Anolis sagrei: one gene and its partner. Each later gene encodes a partner of the first gene's protein in a complex. Links are inferred from orthologs where the notes say so. Each region holds a gene or a part of one and is shown in the gene's direction. Other genes may lie near its edges.

Region 1 (7,816 bases):
GCTCAACTAAAAGAAAAGGAAAAAAACCCCAACAAAAACAATTATTAACAACAACCAAAACCAACAAAATTTAACATTAGAGAAATTGACCCATTTCAGAATGCATAACGTGGTAGATCAATGAGTTTAGTAACTATTCAATAATTTCACTACTAAGACTTTTGTTTGGTGAAATGAAAGTGATCTGGACCTTGAATCTGTAGTTGTTTACACAGTAATAGACAAACAGTGGCAGAGCAATACCAATTTGGAAATGATTCAGGCTTTAAGTGCTCCTTGATTGCATTATTCATGCTCCTGTAAGGGAATGAACTTAATGGAAAGTACCTACTGAAAGCACCATCAGTGCAGATGCTTCAGAAATCACTCAATAGGAAGAATACAAGTTTTGAAACTCAGAGAGAGGAAGGCATGACACACTCAGCACTCAGGGTCTTGTAGCACATTTGGGGCAGCTTGTGAATCGGCACCACAAGAGAGGGAGGTACAAACTGCAGTTCCATTTGTCTGTATAACCCATTGAGGATGCATTATATTGTAGAATTACAGCAGTTTGGCACCACTTTAACTGCCACAGATGAATGCTGTGGAATAATCGGAGTTGTACTTTGATGTGGCACCAGCACTAACTGGGAGAGAAGATGAAAGACATTGCAAAACTACAACTCCCACAACTCTATAACATTGAGCTGTGGCAGTTAAAAACAGTGTCGAATTGCATTGATTCTACGTTTGTATCAAAAGGGTAATAATAAATAATAATAAACTTTATTTATACCCCACCACCATCTCCCCAATGGGGACTTGGGGCAGCTAACATGAGGCCAAGCCCTTTAAAATACAATACAACACAATAAAATACAGAATACAAGAAACAAAATGCATCAGAAAATAAAATTATAATAACAAAGTAAAATAATAAAGCAAATTCACACAATAAAATCAAACAGGGTGGGCAGGCCAAATTGATGAGGTAAAATGACAAAACCCTGGGTGAGGTAGGAATAGAAAATAGGTAAAGGTAAAAGGTTTTCCCCTGACATTAAGTCCGGTCATTTCCGACTCTGGGGGCTGGTGCTCATCTCCATTTCTAAGCCGAAGAGCTGCTGTTGTCCGTAGACACCTCCAAAGTCATGTGGCCAGCATGACTGCATGGAGTGCCGTTACCTTCCCGCCGGAGTGGTACCTATTGATCTACTCACATTTGCATGTTTTCAAACTGCTAGGGTGGCAGAAGCTGGGGCTGACAGCGGAAGCTTACACCACTTCCCGGATTCGAACCTTTCGGTCAACAAGTTTAGCAGCTCAGTGGTTTAACCCACTGCGCCACCGGGGGCTCCAAGAATAGAAAATATGTAAGGGAAAATGAAACAGTGGGGTAAGGCTTTCAGTTTAGAATGGGGAAAAGTGCATCATAGGGGTAACACAAATGGAATGGATGGTCACTCTCCAAAGGCACAATGGAAAAGCCAGGTTTTCAGGTTTTTCTTGAAGTCTGCTAAGGAGGGGGCTAACAAATCTGATTTAGTCAACTTTAGGTTCAGCTTTGTTATTTGACGTGCTGATTCAGAAAATTGCAGTGGATAAACCACATCAGCTCTAGTTTCTGATACAGAACATATCCCATCCAGTAGTCACTATCTACTTGCCAACAGAAAACCATATTTAATAAGCCTCGGCACTATAAGAGGGTTTTGTGTGACCAGTCGCGCTCGTTGCAACAGTGTAGTAACAGTGAGGCCATGAACTGGGACTGTGGTGCAGCTGGCTGGGAGTCAGCTGCATTAAGATCACTACTGACCAAAAGATCATGAGTTCGAAACCAGTCCGGGTCAGAGTGAGCTTCCGACCATTGTGTGTAGCTTGCTGTTGACCTTTGTAGCCCGAAAGACAGTTGCATCTGTCAAGTAGGAAATTTAGGTATCGCTTATGTGGGGAGGCTAATTTAACTAATTTACAATGCCATAAAATCTCCAGCAAGCAAGCAAGCAAGCAAAGAATGAGGAAGTACTCCATCAGTGTCTTAAATGGACGGTGAAGCGACAGCTCCCCTGGTGGCCAGAATTGTCGCATGAAAGCTGGAAAGTTAAATAGTCTCTGTGTGTCTGTCTATATATGTTGTGTGTCTATGTCCTTGAATGTTCGCCAGGTATATGTACATTGTAATCCGCCCTGAGTCCCCTGGGGGGTGAGAAGGGCGGAATTTAAATACTGTAAATAAATAAATAAACAAATGTTGAGGATCCCCACAGACCACAGGTTGGGAACTATTGATCTAGAGGGTTTTTGACTCTTCTCTGAAAGAAATGTCATGCTTTTATAAAAAAAAATATAATCTCCAAAAGAAGACAATTATGCTGGGGAAAATGGAAGAAAAAAGGAAGAAGGGCCGACCAAGGGCAAGATGGCTGGATGGGATCCTTGGAAGTGACTGGATTGACCTTGAAGGAGCTGGGGGTGGTGATGGCTTCCGCCCCTCCAGAGGAACAGTGGACATGATCTTCACTGGATGACAGCTCCAAGAAAAATGCAGGGAACAAAATCAACCTCTGTACATGGCATTCATGGACCTTGCAAAGGCATTCGACACAGTGAATCGCAGCGCTCTCTGGACCATCCTCCAAAAAATCGGATGCCCTAACAAATTTGCGAAAATCCTGTGGCTCCTCCATGATGGCAACAGTCTTGGACAGCAATGGCTCCCAAAGTGACCCATTTAAGGTGGAATCAGGCATCAAATAGGGAAGTGTTATTGCCCCAACTTTCTTCTCCATCTTTGGGAAGCCCTGGCCCTTGAGCGCTCCAGCTGGAGGTCAGCTGTGACCAGCAGTGCTGCAGAATTTGAAGAGAGAAACATGCCAGGAGGAAGGCACATCAAGCCAACCCCGACCGAGACCGCCTTCCACCTGGAAACCAATGTCCTCACTGTGGGAGAAGATGCAGGTCAAAAATAGGGTTCCACAGCCACCTACGGATCCACAAGAATACAGATCATGGAAGACTATCTTACTCATCCAACGAGGGATCGCCTAAGTGTAAGATGACGGCCGACAGGGAGCTCTGCTGTGGGCTGGTCCATGCGGTCACGAAGAGTCGGAAACGACTGAACGAATGAACAACAACAACTCCAAAAGGTTATGAATGCCTGTGATGTCTCGGCCTAGTTCATTTTCCTGTTTATTTCCCTGGAGTTAGACGGTTCCATTCTGTTAAGTTTTAGAGTAGGAGCTTAGGCTCCCCCTATAGGCTGAGCTCTTTGGTTCAGCCCATTCTGCCTGGTGAAAGACTTTTTGGCTCCATTCCTTTTGGTCATAGTTTATAGATAGTTGCCAGAAAAGTGTCTGGTCTGGTTTGCAGTCCGTACAGGCCATCCTTATCACATATTTGCTTTAGAGTTTATAGTAGATGTTATAAAGAATAGATAATATATGCTTCATAGAATTCTTAGATAATACATGCCTTAGAGTTTATAGTTTATAGAATACTTACCTCATAGATTAGAATATACATCCCCCAATAGTTAATAGTTATATATGCCATAGTTATAGCACACACTTGCCATAGTTTATAGCAGGGGTCCACAAACTTTTTAAACAGAGGGCCAGGTCACACTCCCTCAAACTATTGAAGGGCCGGATTATTTGAAAAAAACATGAATGAATTCCTATGCACACTGCACATATCTTATTCGTAGTGCAAAAACCACTTAAAAACAATACAATAATTAAAATGAAGAATAATTTTAACAAATATAAATTTATTAGTATTTCAATGGGAAGTGTGGGCCTGTTTTTGGCTGATGAGATAGGTTGTTGTTGTTGTGTACTTTCAAGTCGCTATAGACTTAGGTTGACCTTAAGCGAGGGCCGGGTAAATGACCTTGGAGGGCCGCATTTGGCCCCGGGCCTTAGTTTGAGGACCCCTGGTTTATAGAATACTTACCTCATAGAAATTATAGTTTGTTACCTCAGAGTTTATATTTCACTGTTCTAACACCATCATAATCAAACTGTACTTTTATACCTTGATTATTCAGTAAACAATTGTTGAACTTAATCTTGTTTGTAGAGTTTTATTTTGGGGGAATTATAGTAATTTAGGGCATACCGATGGTCACTGGGAAAATAGCCAGACACATTTAGTTTCTCATTAGATCTTCCCGGCGTGCCATCATAGCCATTTTCCAAAACCTAGGACTTGTAGTTTTACAGGGCCTTTAGCGTTCTCTGTGAAAGAGCTACCAAACGACAAAGCCCATGATTCCACAGCAGGCATGGGCCAACTTGGGCCCTGCAGGTGTTTTGGACTTCAACTCCCACCATTCCTAACAGTCTCAGGCCCTTTCCTTTTCCCCCTCAGCCGGAAAAGGAAGGGGCCTGAGGCTGTTAGGAATGGTGGGAGTTGAAGTCCAAAACACCTGCAGGGCCCAAGTTGGCCCACGCCTGTCCTACAGCATGTGACATAACCCAGGACAAGGCCTGTGGAGCTTTCCTGTCGCCCATGCGGGTCAAGGAGTCCTTTTTACCAGGGTCATTTCTCTTGCTCAATGGGAGAAAAGGAACTTTTTGCTAAGAAGGCTTGAGAGCTCCCTCCTTCTCCCCCCTCTCCTCAGAAGAGGCCCCCTCAAACAGCCCTCTTTACCTCGACCGCTCCGAGCTCCGCCAAACCCCGCTCTGCCTTCTTTTTCTTCCTTGGGGCGACGCTTCCGTCGCGCCCTGGTGATGTCACAGGAAACCAGCCTCCCTCTGGCGTCGTCTCTGAAGGAGAGAGAGAGAGAGAGAGAGAGAGAGAGCCAGGGCCAGGCAGGCAGGCGCGATGTGGGTGCTGAGGCATGCGCCGCGGCGGGTCTGGCGGGTCTTCCAGGCCAGGAGGCTCTCGGGCCCCGCTCAGCAAGAAGGTAAGCCTCCCCTTCGACTTCCTAAGTGCCTTCAGGAGTCACCCAGGGGCGGAAATAACGCACCCCTTGAACTGCCAAAGCTCAGTGTTATGGAATCATGATAGCAAGGCACCAGCACCCCTTGGCAAGGAAAGAGAAAGGCCTTGTAAAGCTACAACTCCCAAGACCCCATCGCATGCAGTCTTGGAGCTTGAGTTTTTAGGGAAAGCAGCTGGTGCGGCTTGTCAGGGATGGCAAGAGTTTTGTTGTGGCTGAGCAAGGGCAGACTGGTTATATAATCATCATCATCATCATAGAATCAAAGAGTTGGAAGAGACCTCATGGGCCATCCAGTCCAACCCCCTGCCAAGAAGCAGGAATATTTATTTATTTACTTTACTTTACTTGTATACCGCAGTTTCTCAGCCTAACAGGCGACTCAACGCGGTTTACAACAAGGATAAGATCAATCAACGATATACAATTTAAAACCATTAGAGCACAATATACAATATTGACACAACAATATTGCATTCAAATCACCCCTGACAGATGGCCATCCAGCCTCTGTTTAAAAGCTACCGAACTACAAACCCCATGATTCCACAGCAGGCATGGGCCAACTTGGGCCCTGCAGGTGTTTTGGACTTCAACTCCAGAGAAGCCATTGAAATCCACAAGCATATGGACAATTTCAACAGAAAGGAAGAAACCATGAAAATAAACAAAATCTGGCTACCAGTATTAAAAAACTCAAAAATTACAACAGCAAAACAACAGAGGGGAAACAAACAGGCACATAAAATCACTCTCAACAAAGGATTCCCCCCAGGCACTTCCAAGCCATTGAATGCTAATCAAGGTGATCAGCTGAAACATTCACACCTAGCCCCAGCAGACAAAAGTCCTTTGTCCCACCCTGGTCATTCCACAGATATATAACCCCATTTTTCCTACTTCCAACAGACCTCACTACCTCTGAGGATGCTTGCCATAGATGCAGGCGAATCGTCAGGAGAAAAATTGCCTCCAGAACATGGCCATATAGCCCGGAAAAACCTACAACAACCCAATAATAACTTTATTTTTATACCCCGCCAACCATCTCCCCTAGGGGACTCGGGGCGCCTTACAAGGACACGCCCAAAATTACAATTAACGCACACAACTAAAACACTTAACCAATTAAAACATCAGATAAAAACAAATAACAGCACAATTGAAAGCAATATAAAAATAATACGGCTGAAAGAAACATAGCTGAGGTATAGATTCAATGAGTGCAATACATTTTTACAGGAGCGCAGTAAACTGGGCAGGAAATACTGTCATAACACATGTTGAGACTGGTTGGCTTTCCCCTGACATTAAATCCAGTCGTGTCTCACTCTGGGGTGTGCTGCTCATCTCTATTTCTAAGCCGAAGAGCTGGCATTGTCTGTAGACACTCCAAGGTCATGTGGCCAGCATGACTGCATGGAGTGCCATTACCTTCCCGCCAGAGCAGTACCTATTCATCTACTCACATTTGCATGTTTTTGAACTGCTAGGTTGGCAGAAGCTTGGGCTGACAGCGAAAGCTTATGCCCCTCCCTGGATTCGAACCTGCGACCTTTCAGTCAACAAGCTTAGCAGCTCAGTGGTTTAACCCACTGCGCCACTACACATTAGATAAGATCTCAAGTTAGATAAGGTTTGCACTTTAGGCTGTATTTTTCCATTACTGCCTTTCAGTGTAGTTGTACTACTAGTAAAAAGGTCAAGGTTTGCCCTGACATCAAGTCTAGTCGTGTCCGACTCTGGTGGGTGGTGGTTACCTCATTTCTAAGCTGAAGAGCTGGTGTTGTCCATAGACATCTCCAAAGTGATGTGGTCAGCATGACTGCATGGAGCACCATTACCTTCCCACCAAGGTGGTACCTACTGATCTACTGATTTGCATGTTTTGCATGTTTTGAACTGCTAGTTTGGCAGAAGCTGGGGCTAACCGCAGGAGCTCACCCCACGCCCTGGATTTGAACCGCCAACCTTTCAGACAGCAAGTTCAGCACCTCAGCACTTCGCCACTAATACCACTAGTATTATTACTACTAGTAATAATAATAGTCATCATATTTTATTTGTTAACACCCCTCTTTGATGCAGTTAACAACATAGGGTGCATCTACACCAGGCATGGGCAAACTTGGGCCCTCTGGGTCTTTTGGACTTCCACTCCTACAATTCCTAACAGCCAGTAGGCTGTTAGGAATTGTGGGAGTGGAAGTCCAAAAGACCCGGAGTGCCCAAGTTTGCCCATGCCTGATCTACACTGTAGAATTAATTTATTTTGGTACTGCTTTGGGTGGAATAGTACAGTGCTATGGAATCCTGGGAGTGGTAGTTTGGTGAGTCACCAGCAGAGAAGGCAAAAAACCTCCTAAAGCTACAACTCCTATGGTTCCCTAGCAGTTAAAGTGGTGTCAACTGCATTGATTCTACGACATATGTAATCATTATAGTTAAATTACATAACTATAAATCAGATGTAATATTTGGTGATAGTGGAAGCAGAGCGTGAGTAAGGATTTTGTCAACAAAGGTATTTCACGCACCATCGACCCGGATAATTCGGGCTGTGACAAATGTCTTCCCTCCTCCCTGCATTAGCCCATGGTTCAGACAGGAACAGCTCTTTCTCCTAGCGTTGCATAAGTCTACATTTCTCTTCCTCCTTTTATAACCCAGGGCAGTGTAGTTGTATCCTGCTGTCAGTGATGAAAGACTTATTGATGCAAAGCTACTGCAATTTCTTTCGGAGGGAGTTCTTTAAACGAAAGCTCTGAGTTGATAGATTTGCTTTGGTAACTCTAATGGGAACCCAGTAGCATACATCTGAAAATGTTTTGACAATGAAATAGACTACTTTAAACATTAGCAGACTGTCAATTTCATCAGAAG
Region 2 (7,609 bases), about 120 Mb from region 1:
TTGTTATATGTTGTATGGAACCACTGCTGTTTCTACTGTTTTTACTGTTTGTGAACCGCCGTGAGTCGCCTTCGGGCTTGAGATACAGCGGTATATAAGCAAAGTAAATAATATTGTGCTCCAAAACTCTGTCTGTCTGAATTTGGAAGTCCCAGAGGAGTTTGACGTGTTCATTTTCTGTAACTTTTTCCAGCTTGTGATCCCACCAGTTCTTTCTCGCAGGCAGATGGTATTTGTGGCACAAGTTCCAACGAATCATCTGAGCAACTGTGCTATTATTATTATTATTATTATTATTATTATTATTATTATTATTATTAGAGCTGCAAGACCAAGAACAAGCCACAAGAGTAAAGATGAAGATCCACCCAGAGGAAAAATGTTCCTGCCATACATCAAGGGAACCACTGACTGCATAGGGAAGCTGATGAGGAAACACAACATACAAACAATCTACAAACCCACCAAGAAAATCCAACAAATGCTACGTTCAGCAAAGGACAAGAGGGATCCTCTCACCTCTGCAGGAGTCTACCGTATACCATGCAGCTGTGGACAAGTCTACATAGGGACCACCAAACGCAGCATTGCCCAAACAAGAATCCAGGAACATGAAAGGCACTGCAGACTACTCCAACCAGAGAAATCAGCCATAGCAGAGCACCTGATGAACCAGCCTGGACACAGCATTTTATTTGAGAACACAGAAATGCTGGACCACTCTCACAACCACCATGTCAGACTACACAGAGAAGCCATTGAAATCCACAAACATGTGGACAATTTCAACAGAAAGGAAGAAACCATGAACATGAACAAAATCTGGCTACCAGTATTAAAAAATTATAAAATTGCAACAGCAAAAACAGCAGAGAGAAAAACAGGCAGGGACATCTAATCACCTTTCAAGAAGAGTTTGCTCCAGGCACAGTCAGCCCATTGTATGCTAATCAAGGTGGTCAGTTGAAAGATCCACACCCAGCCCAACTTACAAAAGCCTTTTGTCTCACCCTGGTCATTCCAGAGATATATAAACCCCCTTTTTTCCCAGCTCCAGCAGACCTCACCTCTGAGGAAGCTTGCCATAGATGCAGGCGAAACGTCAGGAGAAATGCTTCTAGAACATGGCCATATAGCCCGAAAAAACCCACAAGAACTGAGGGAATATTATTATTATTATTTACCTGGAATGCTACAATGGCAGAACTCCATCTTCGTAGTTACATTTGATAATTCAGAATTTCAGCCAAACGTTAGACAAAAGGTTTTTTTAGATTTTTCTAGAGGTAACTTTCCTAGAGGGAAGTTACTTTCATGTCCTGTCCAAAAATCGAAGATCCATACTTTGTTTTTTAACACAATTGGGAGGTCAGGAGTATTGTGCTCCAAAACTCTGTCTTCTTCTTGTTGTTGTTGTTGTTGTTATTATTATTATTATTATTCGGCAGGGCTTGGATAAGTGGTTCTCAACCTGTGGGTCCCCAGATGTTTTGACTTTCAACTCCCAGAAATTCCGACAGCTGGCAAACTGGCCGGGATTTCTGGGAGTTGTAGGCCAAAACACCTGGGGACCCACAGGTTGAGAACCACTGGATTAGATGAAGCAGTAGTAGACACCTCAGTTAAACTACTAAGCTGCTGACCCTGCTGACTAAAAGGTTTGTGGTTCGAATCCGGGGAGCGGGCTGAGCTCCCGCTGTTAGCCCCAGCTTCTGCCAACCTAGCAGTTTGAAAACATGCAAAAGTGAGTAGATCAATAGGTACCGCTTCTGCGGGAAGGTAATGGTGCTGGATGCAATCATGCTGGCCACATTACCTTGGAGGTGTCTATAGACAATGCCGGCTCTTCAGCTTAGAAATGGAAATGAGCACTACTCCCCAGAGTCGGATTCGACTAGTGTCAAGGGGAAACCTTTACCTTTACTAAACCAACTCGGTCGCTTTCACTATGTCACCAATTTGGGGAGATGGTGGTGGGGTATAAATAAAGTTTATTATTATTATTATTATTATTAAATGGGTAGAAAGGTGGGTAATGACAGTGCGACTAATCAAAATTGGGTGGAGGTAGTGCTTGTAGTTCTGGAGGGACTCTAATTTTTGCTTCTCATATATTTGGGATTGGGTTGACCTGCAACATTTTGGGGTTGGTTTGAACCCCTAAACCGCCCCTTTGGCTACGGCAGGGTTTCTCAACCTGGGGGTTGGGACCCCTCGGGGGGGGGTCGTGAGGGTGTGTCAGAGGGGTCATCAAAGATGTAATCTATGTAATTTCTTTATGCTTGTGGGTAAACAGTATTTCTTGTTGTCTCTTTGTCAGTGTTGATGTGGAAAGTGTCCGGTTTGCCTACTCTGGAAAATGCAATATATTATTGTCCTTCTTTAGGGGTCCCTTTAAAATCTATGATATTACATCTGTGTGTGTGTGTGAATCATATCTATCTATATATATCTATGGCTGGATGGCTCTTTGTCAGGAGGGCTTTGATTAGATTTTCTTGCCCTGGTGAAGAGAGTTGGACTAGATGGCCTCAAGTATTTTCTGTTGGTGATGGGGTTCAGCGTGGAAAATGTGTCCCAATTCTGTTGTTTGTGGGGTTCAGAATGCTCTTTGTTTGTAGGTGAACTATAAATCCCAGTAACTACAACTACCAAATGCCAAGGTCTATTCCCCCCAAACTCCACCTGTGTTCATATTTGGGCATATGGAGTATTTGTGTCAAGTTTGGTCCAGATTCATCATTGTTTGAGTCCACAGTGGTCTCTGGATGTAGGTGAACTACAACTCCAAAACTCAAGGTCAATGCCCACCAAACCCTTCCAGTGTGTTCTGTTGGTCATGGAAGTCCTGTATGCCATGTTTGGATGAATTCCATCATTGGTGGAATTCAGAATGCTCTTTGATTGTAGGTGAACTATAAATCCCAGTAACTACAACTACCAAATGTCAAGGTCTATCCCCCCCCCCCCCAAACTCCACCTGTGTACATATTTGAGCATATGGCATATTTGTGCCAAGTTTGGTCCGGATCCATCATTGTTTGAGTCCACAGTGGTCTCTGGATGTAGGTGAACTACAACTCCTACAAGGTCAATGACTGCCAAACCCTTCTAGTCTTTTCTGTTGGTCATGGGAGTCCTGTGTGTCACCTTTGGTTCAATTCCATCATTGGTGGAGTTCAGAATGCTCTGTGATTGTAGGTGAACTATAATTCCCAGCAACTACAACTACCAAATGTCAAGGTCTATTTCCCTTAAACTCCATCTGTGTTCATATTTGGTCATATGGAATATTAGTGTCAAGTTTGGTCCATCATTGTTTGAGTCCACAGTGCTCTCTGGATGTAGGTGAACTACAACTCCCAAACTCAAGGTCAATGCCCACCAAACCCTTCCAGTGTGTTCTGTTGGTCATGGAAGTCCTGTATGCCATGTTTGGATGAATTCCATCATTGGTGGAATTCAGAATGCTCTTTGATTGTAGGTGAACTATAAATCTCAGCAACTACAACTCCCAAATGACAAAATCATAATTTTTTGAGTGATGGTCACTCCTTGTGTTGTGAGATGTTTTGTAGCCAAATTTGGTGTGATTTTGTTCATTGGCTCTTTTGTTTTTAAGGTACTCATTATGCACAGAGCATTTATATATATATATATGGCACAAATCTATATATATATATATATATATATATATATATATATATATTTCTGTTGGTCATGGAAGTCCTGTATGCCATGTCTAGAAGGGTTTGGTGGGCATTGACCTTGAGTTTGGGAGTTGCAGTTCACTTACATCCAGAGACCACTGTGGACACAAACAATGATGGAGTTGACAAATCTATATAGGTTTGTGCCAAGTTTGGTCCAACTCCATCATTGTTTGAGTCCACAGTGTCTCTGGATGTAAGTGAACTGCAACTCCCAAACTCAAGGTCAATGCCCACCAAACCCTTCTAGTCTTTTCTGTTGGTCATGGGAGCCCTGTGTACTAAGTTTGGCCCAATTCCATCATTGGTGGGGTTCAGAATGCTCTTTGATTGTAGGTGAACTATAAATCCCAGCAACTACAACTCCCAAATGACAAAATCAATTTTTTCGAGTGAAGGCCATACATTGGGTTGTTAGGTGTCTTGTGTCCAAATTTGGTGTCAATTCGTCCAGTGGTTCTTGAGTTCTGTTAATCCCACAAACAAGCATTACATTTTTATTTATATAGATTGGGTTGACTTGCAACTTTTCGGGGTTGGTTTGCACCCCTCACCCGCCCCTTGGCTACAGGCTTGCACCAGAGTGCATAGCGAGGAGGGAGGCCCAGTGGCTCGCGCGCCCGCCTCCCACTCACCTTCCTCTTCCTCCCACGGCCTCCACGCGGGACTCGGCCGGCTGCTTTCCAGCGCCGGGCCCTCCTCTTCCGGGACCGGCCTTCGAGGAAGGAAGGAAAGGCAGGGAAGGAAGGAGGGAGGGCCTAAGAAGAGCGCCGGGGCCTGGAGGCGGCCTCCGCGTGTGTTGACAACATGGCCGCAGCCCGGCGGGCTCAGGCGCTGCGCCTCTACCGGGCCCTCCTGCGGGAGAGCCAGGCCTTCGCCGCCTACGGGTACAGGTAGGACGAGGAGGAGGAGGAGAGGCCTCGGCCCCGTCCCCACGCCCAGAAAGGCCTCCCTGTCCACAGGGTTTCCTTCATCCCTTATAGGCACCAGTGAATGTAGAAAGTATGCTTCCTAGCCTCATGTTATCCTCAGAAATCCACTGATCGGGGTGGGAAAACTTCAAGAGCTAATACAGTTATTATTATTATTTTTATTATTGTTATGAGCTAAGGACCCTTCACCTGGAAGTGTCTTCTTCATGGTGGTGTCCTTGTAATTATTATTAACTAATACCACCATGATCAATAATAACAACAATATAATTAATAATAATACTACCATGATCAATAATAACAACACAATAATACGACCATGATCAATAATAATAACAACATTAAAATCGTGTTACATAGTTCATGCTATCATTATTCATACCACTATGTTAAGTAGTAATAATAGCACAATAATTAATAACACCGCCATGCTTAATAGCAGTAATACCATAATTAATAATAACACCATGATTATTAACAGTAACACCATAATTAATAATAATACCTCTATATTATTAAAATTGTGTCATATAGTATATGGTATTATTATTATTATTCATACCACTATGATAAGTAGTGGCACAGTGGGTTAAAGCGCTGAGCTGCTGAGCTTGTTGACCGAAAGGTCTCAGAATGGCGTGAGCTTCCTTGGTCAGCCCTAGCTTCTGCCAATCTAGCAGTTCAAAAACATGCAAATGTGAGTAGATCAATAGGTACCGCAAGGAGCCCCCGGTGGTGCAGTGGGTTAAACCCCTGTGCCGACAGGACTGAAGACCGACAGGTCGCAGGTTTGAATCCGGGGATAGGCGGATGAGCTCCCTCTATCAGCTCCAGCTTCTCATGCAGGGACATGAGAGAAGCCTCCCACAAGGATGATAAAAACATCAAATCATCCGGGCGTCCCCTGGGCAATGTCCTTGCAAACAGCCAATTCTCTCACACCAGAAGCGACTTGCAGTTTCTCAAGTCGCTCCTGACACAACAAAAAAAAAAGATACCGCTCCGGCAGGGAGGTAATGGTACTCCATGCAGTCATGCCAGCCACATGACCATGACAATGCCGGCTCTTCGGCTTAGAAATGGAGATGAGCACCACACCCCATCTTTAATAATAATACCACCATAATATTAAAATTGTGCCACATAGTGTATGGTATTATTATTATTATTATTATTTATGATAACAATAATAACATTAATAATAATACCACTGTAATATTAAAATCGTGTTACATAATGTATGGTATTATTCATGCCACCATGATCAATAATAACAATAATAAGAATAGCACCATAACTAATAATAACACCACCATGATATGAAAATCATCTTACATAGTGTATGGTATTATTATTATTATTATTATTATTCATACCACCATGATCAATAATAACACAATAACTAATAATACTGCTGCCATCATTAATAATAACACCACCAGAATTAATATTAATATTAAATTGTGTTACATAGTGTATGATATTATTATTCATACCACTGTGATCACTAGTAATAATAACACCAGAATGTATAATACCACAATGATTAATAGCAGTAATACCATAATTAATAATAGTAACACCATAATGAATAATAACACCATGGTTAATAACAAGAATAACACCATAATTAATAATTATATCACCAAGATTAATAATAATAACACCATACACTATGTAACACAATATTATTGTTTATGGTGTTATTATTATGGTGTTATTGTTATTATCATGGTGGTATTATTATACACTATTACATAGTATATGGCATTATGAATCACAATATTTATTTATTGGAGTCAATTTTTACCCCGCTTTTCTCCCACACCAAGGCAAGACTCAAAGCAGCTAACAATACAATAAGAACATACAAAGTAAAGATTAAAACAGATTCAAACCAATAAATTCCTTATAGCAACCTGATTGAGTCTCAACCAATTCAGCAGTTTGTGGCAGCTACAAAAATGATGTTTCTGAAATATAACAACTTTCAAAGTAAATATTGCAAAATTTAACAGGAAATTGTACTTTCAAACCAGGAACAGAATCTTTTTCAAATTGTATGACATAGTGATAATACCACCATGATGAATATGACACCACCATAATTTATCATAATAATATGAATACAATGATAATAATGCTATAATAATACCACAATGATAGATGATAATAAAATACTATTATTAATATTAGCAATGTCAGGCTCTGCATCTCGTAGTGCCAGAACGCTGTCTGTTCAGTGCCTTCCAAGTTGCCCAGTCTTCTCTGTGCCCAGGAGGGAGTCTCTCATTTGGTATCAGCCGTAGATTGAGGTTCCAGGTTTTAGCCTGCCATTTTTGGATTATCATTTGTGGAGGCATTCCTGCAAGTATCTTTGTAGATCTTAGAAAACTATTTCTTGATTTAAGGCGTTGATGTGCTGGCTGATATCCGAACAGAGAATGGGCCAGAGATGTCTCTGCCTTGGCCCTTTCATTATTGGCTGCTACTTCCTGGTGGATGTCAGGTGGTGCAAAACCAGCTAACAGTATACTTCTTCCAGTGATGTGGGGCATGACATTATTACATTATTACATTATCCTGTGATAATGTGTATGTGTCATTAAGGGCCAAATCCATTATTTTAACTGTGAAATGTGTTCTACACTGGACATGCATATTCAGCAACAGAATAGCAAAGCTCAAGGGCAGATGTCTTCACTGTGTCTGGTTGTGATCCCCAAGTTGTGTCAGTCAGCTTTCGTATGATATTATTTCTACCACCCACTTTTTGCTTGATATTCAAGTAGTGCTTCTTATAAGTCAGAGCACGGTCCAGGATAACTTCCAGGTATTTTGATGTTGCGTCCTTGGGAGTGTTTCCTTCATAATGGTAATAGTATTAATAGTTTTTAAAAAGTTCTGGTAAAACAAAACTGCAGAGGGATGCAACTAGTTTGGCGACAAATAAATAGGGATGTTATT

What was found. The genes of interacting proteins can lie anywhere in the genome.
Region 2: the proteins of NFS1 (region 1) and LYRM4 are in contact, whole or in part, in a crystal structure (PDB 6W1D), measured with the Homo sapiens proteins. The link is inferred for Anolis sagrei from reciprocal best matches to the Homo sapiens genes NFS1 and LYRM4. Residues at the interface, in NP_066923.3 of Homo sapiens: Leu56, Arg57, Pro58, Leu59, Pro68, Leu69, Pro71, Arg72, Leu74, Asp75, Leu78, Glu314, Tyr317, Arg321, Asp372, Arg412, Phe413, Thr414, Thr415, Glu417, Glu418, Tyr421; in NP_065141.3 of Homo sapiens: Phe23, Tyr26, Asn27, Tyr28, Thr30, Tyr31, Arg34, Arg35, Asp38, Val65, Arg68, Gln69, Ile72, Thr78, Asp79, Lys80, Leu81, Ile82, Ile83, Asn85.

Annotation. Positions count from the first base shown.
Region 1 is NC_090024.1:207,092,749-207,100,564, reverse strand, and holds the start of NFS1 (cysteine desulfurase), read left to right. Parts: upstream 1-4,767; 5' UTR 4,768-4,815; coding exon 4,816-4,897; intron 4,898-7,816.
Region 2 is NC_090024.1:86,268,249-86,275,857, forward strand, and holds the start of LYRM4 (LYR motif-containing protein 4), read left to right. Parts: upstream 1-4,517; coding exon 4,518-4,603; intron 4,604-7,609.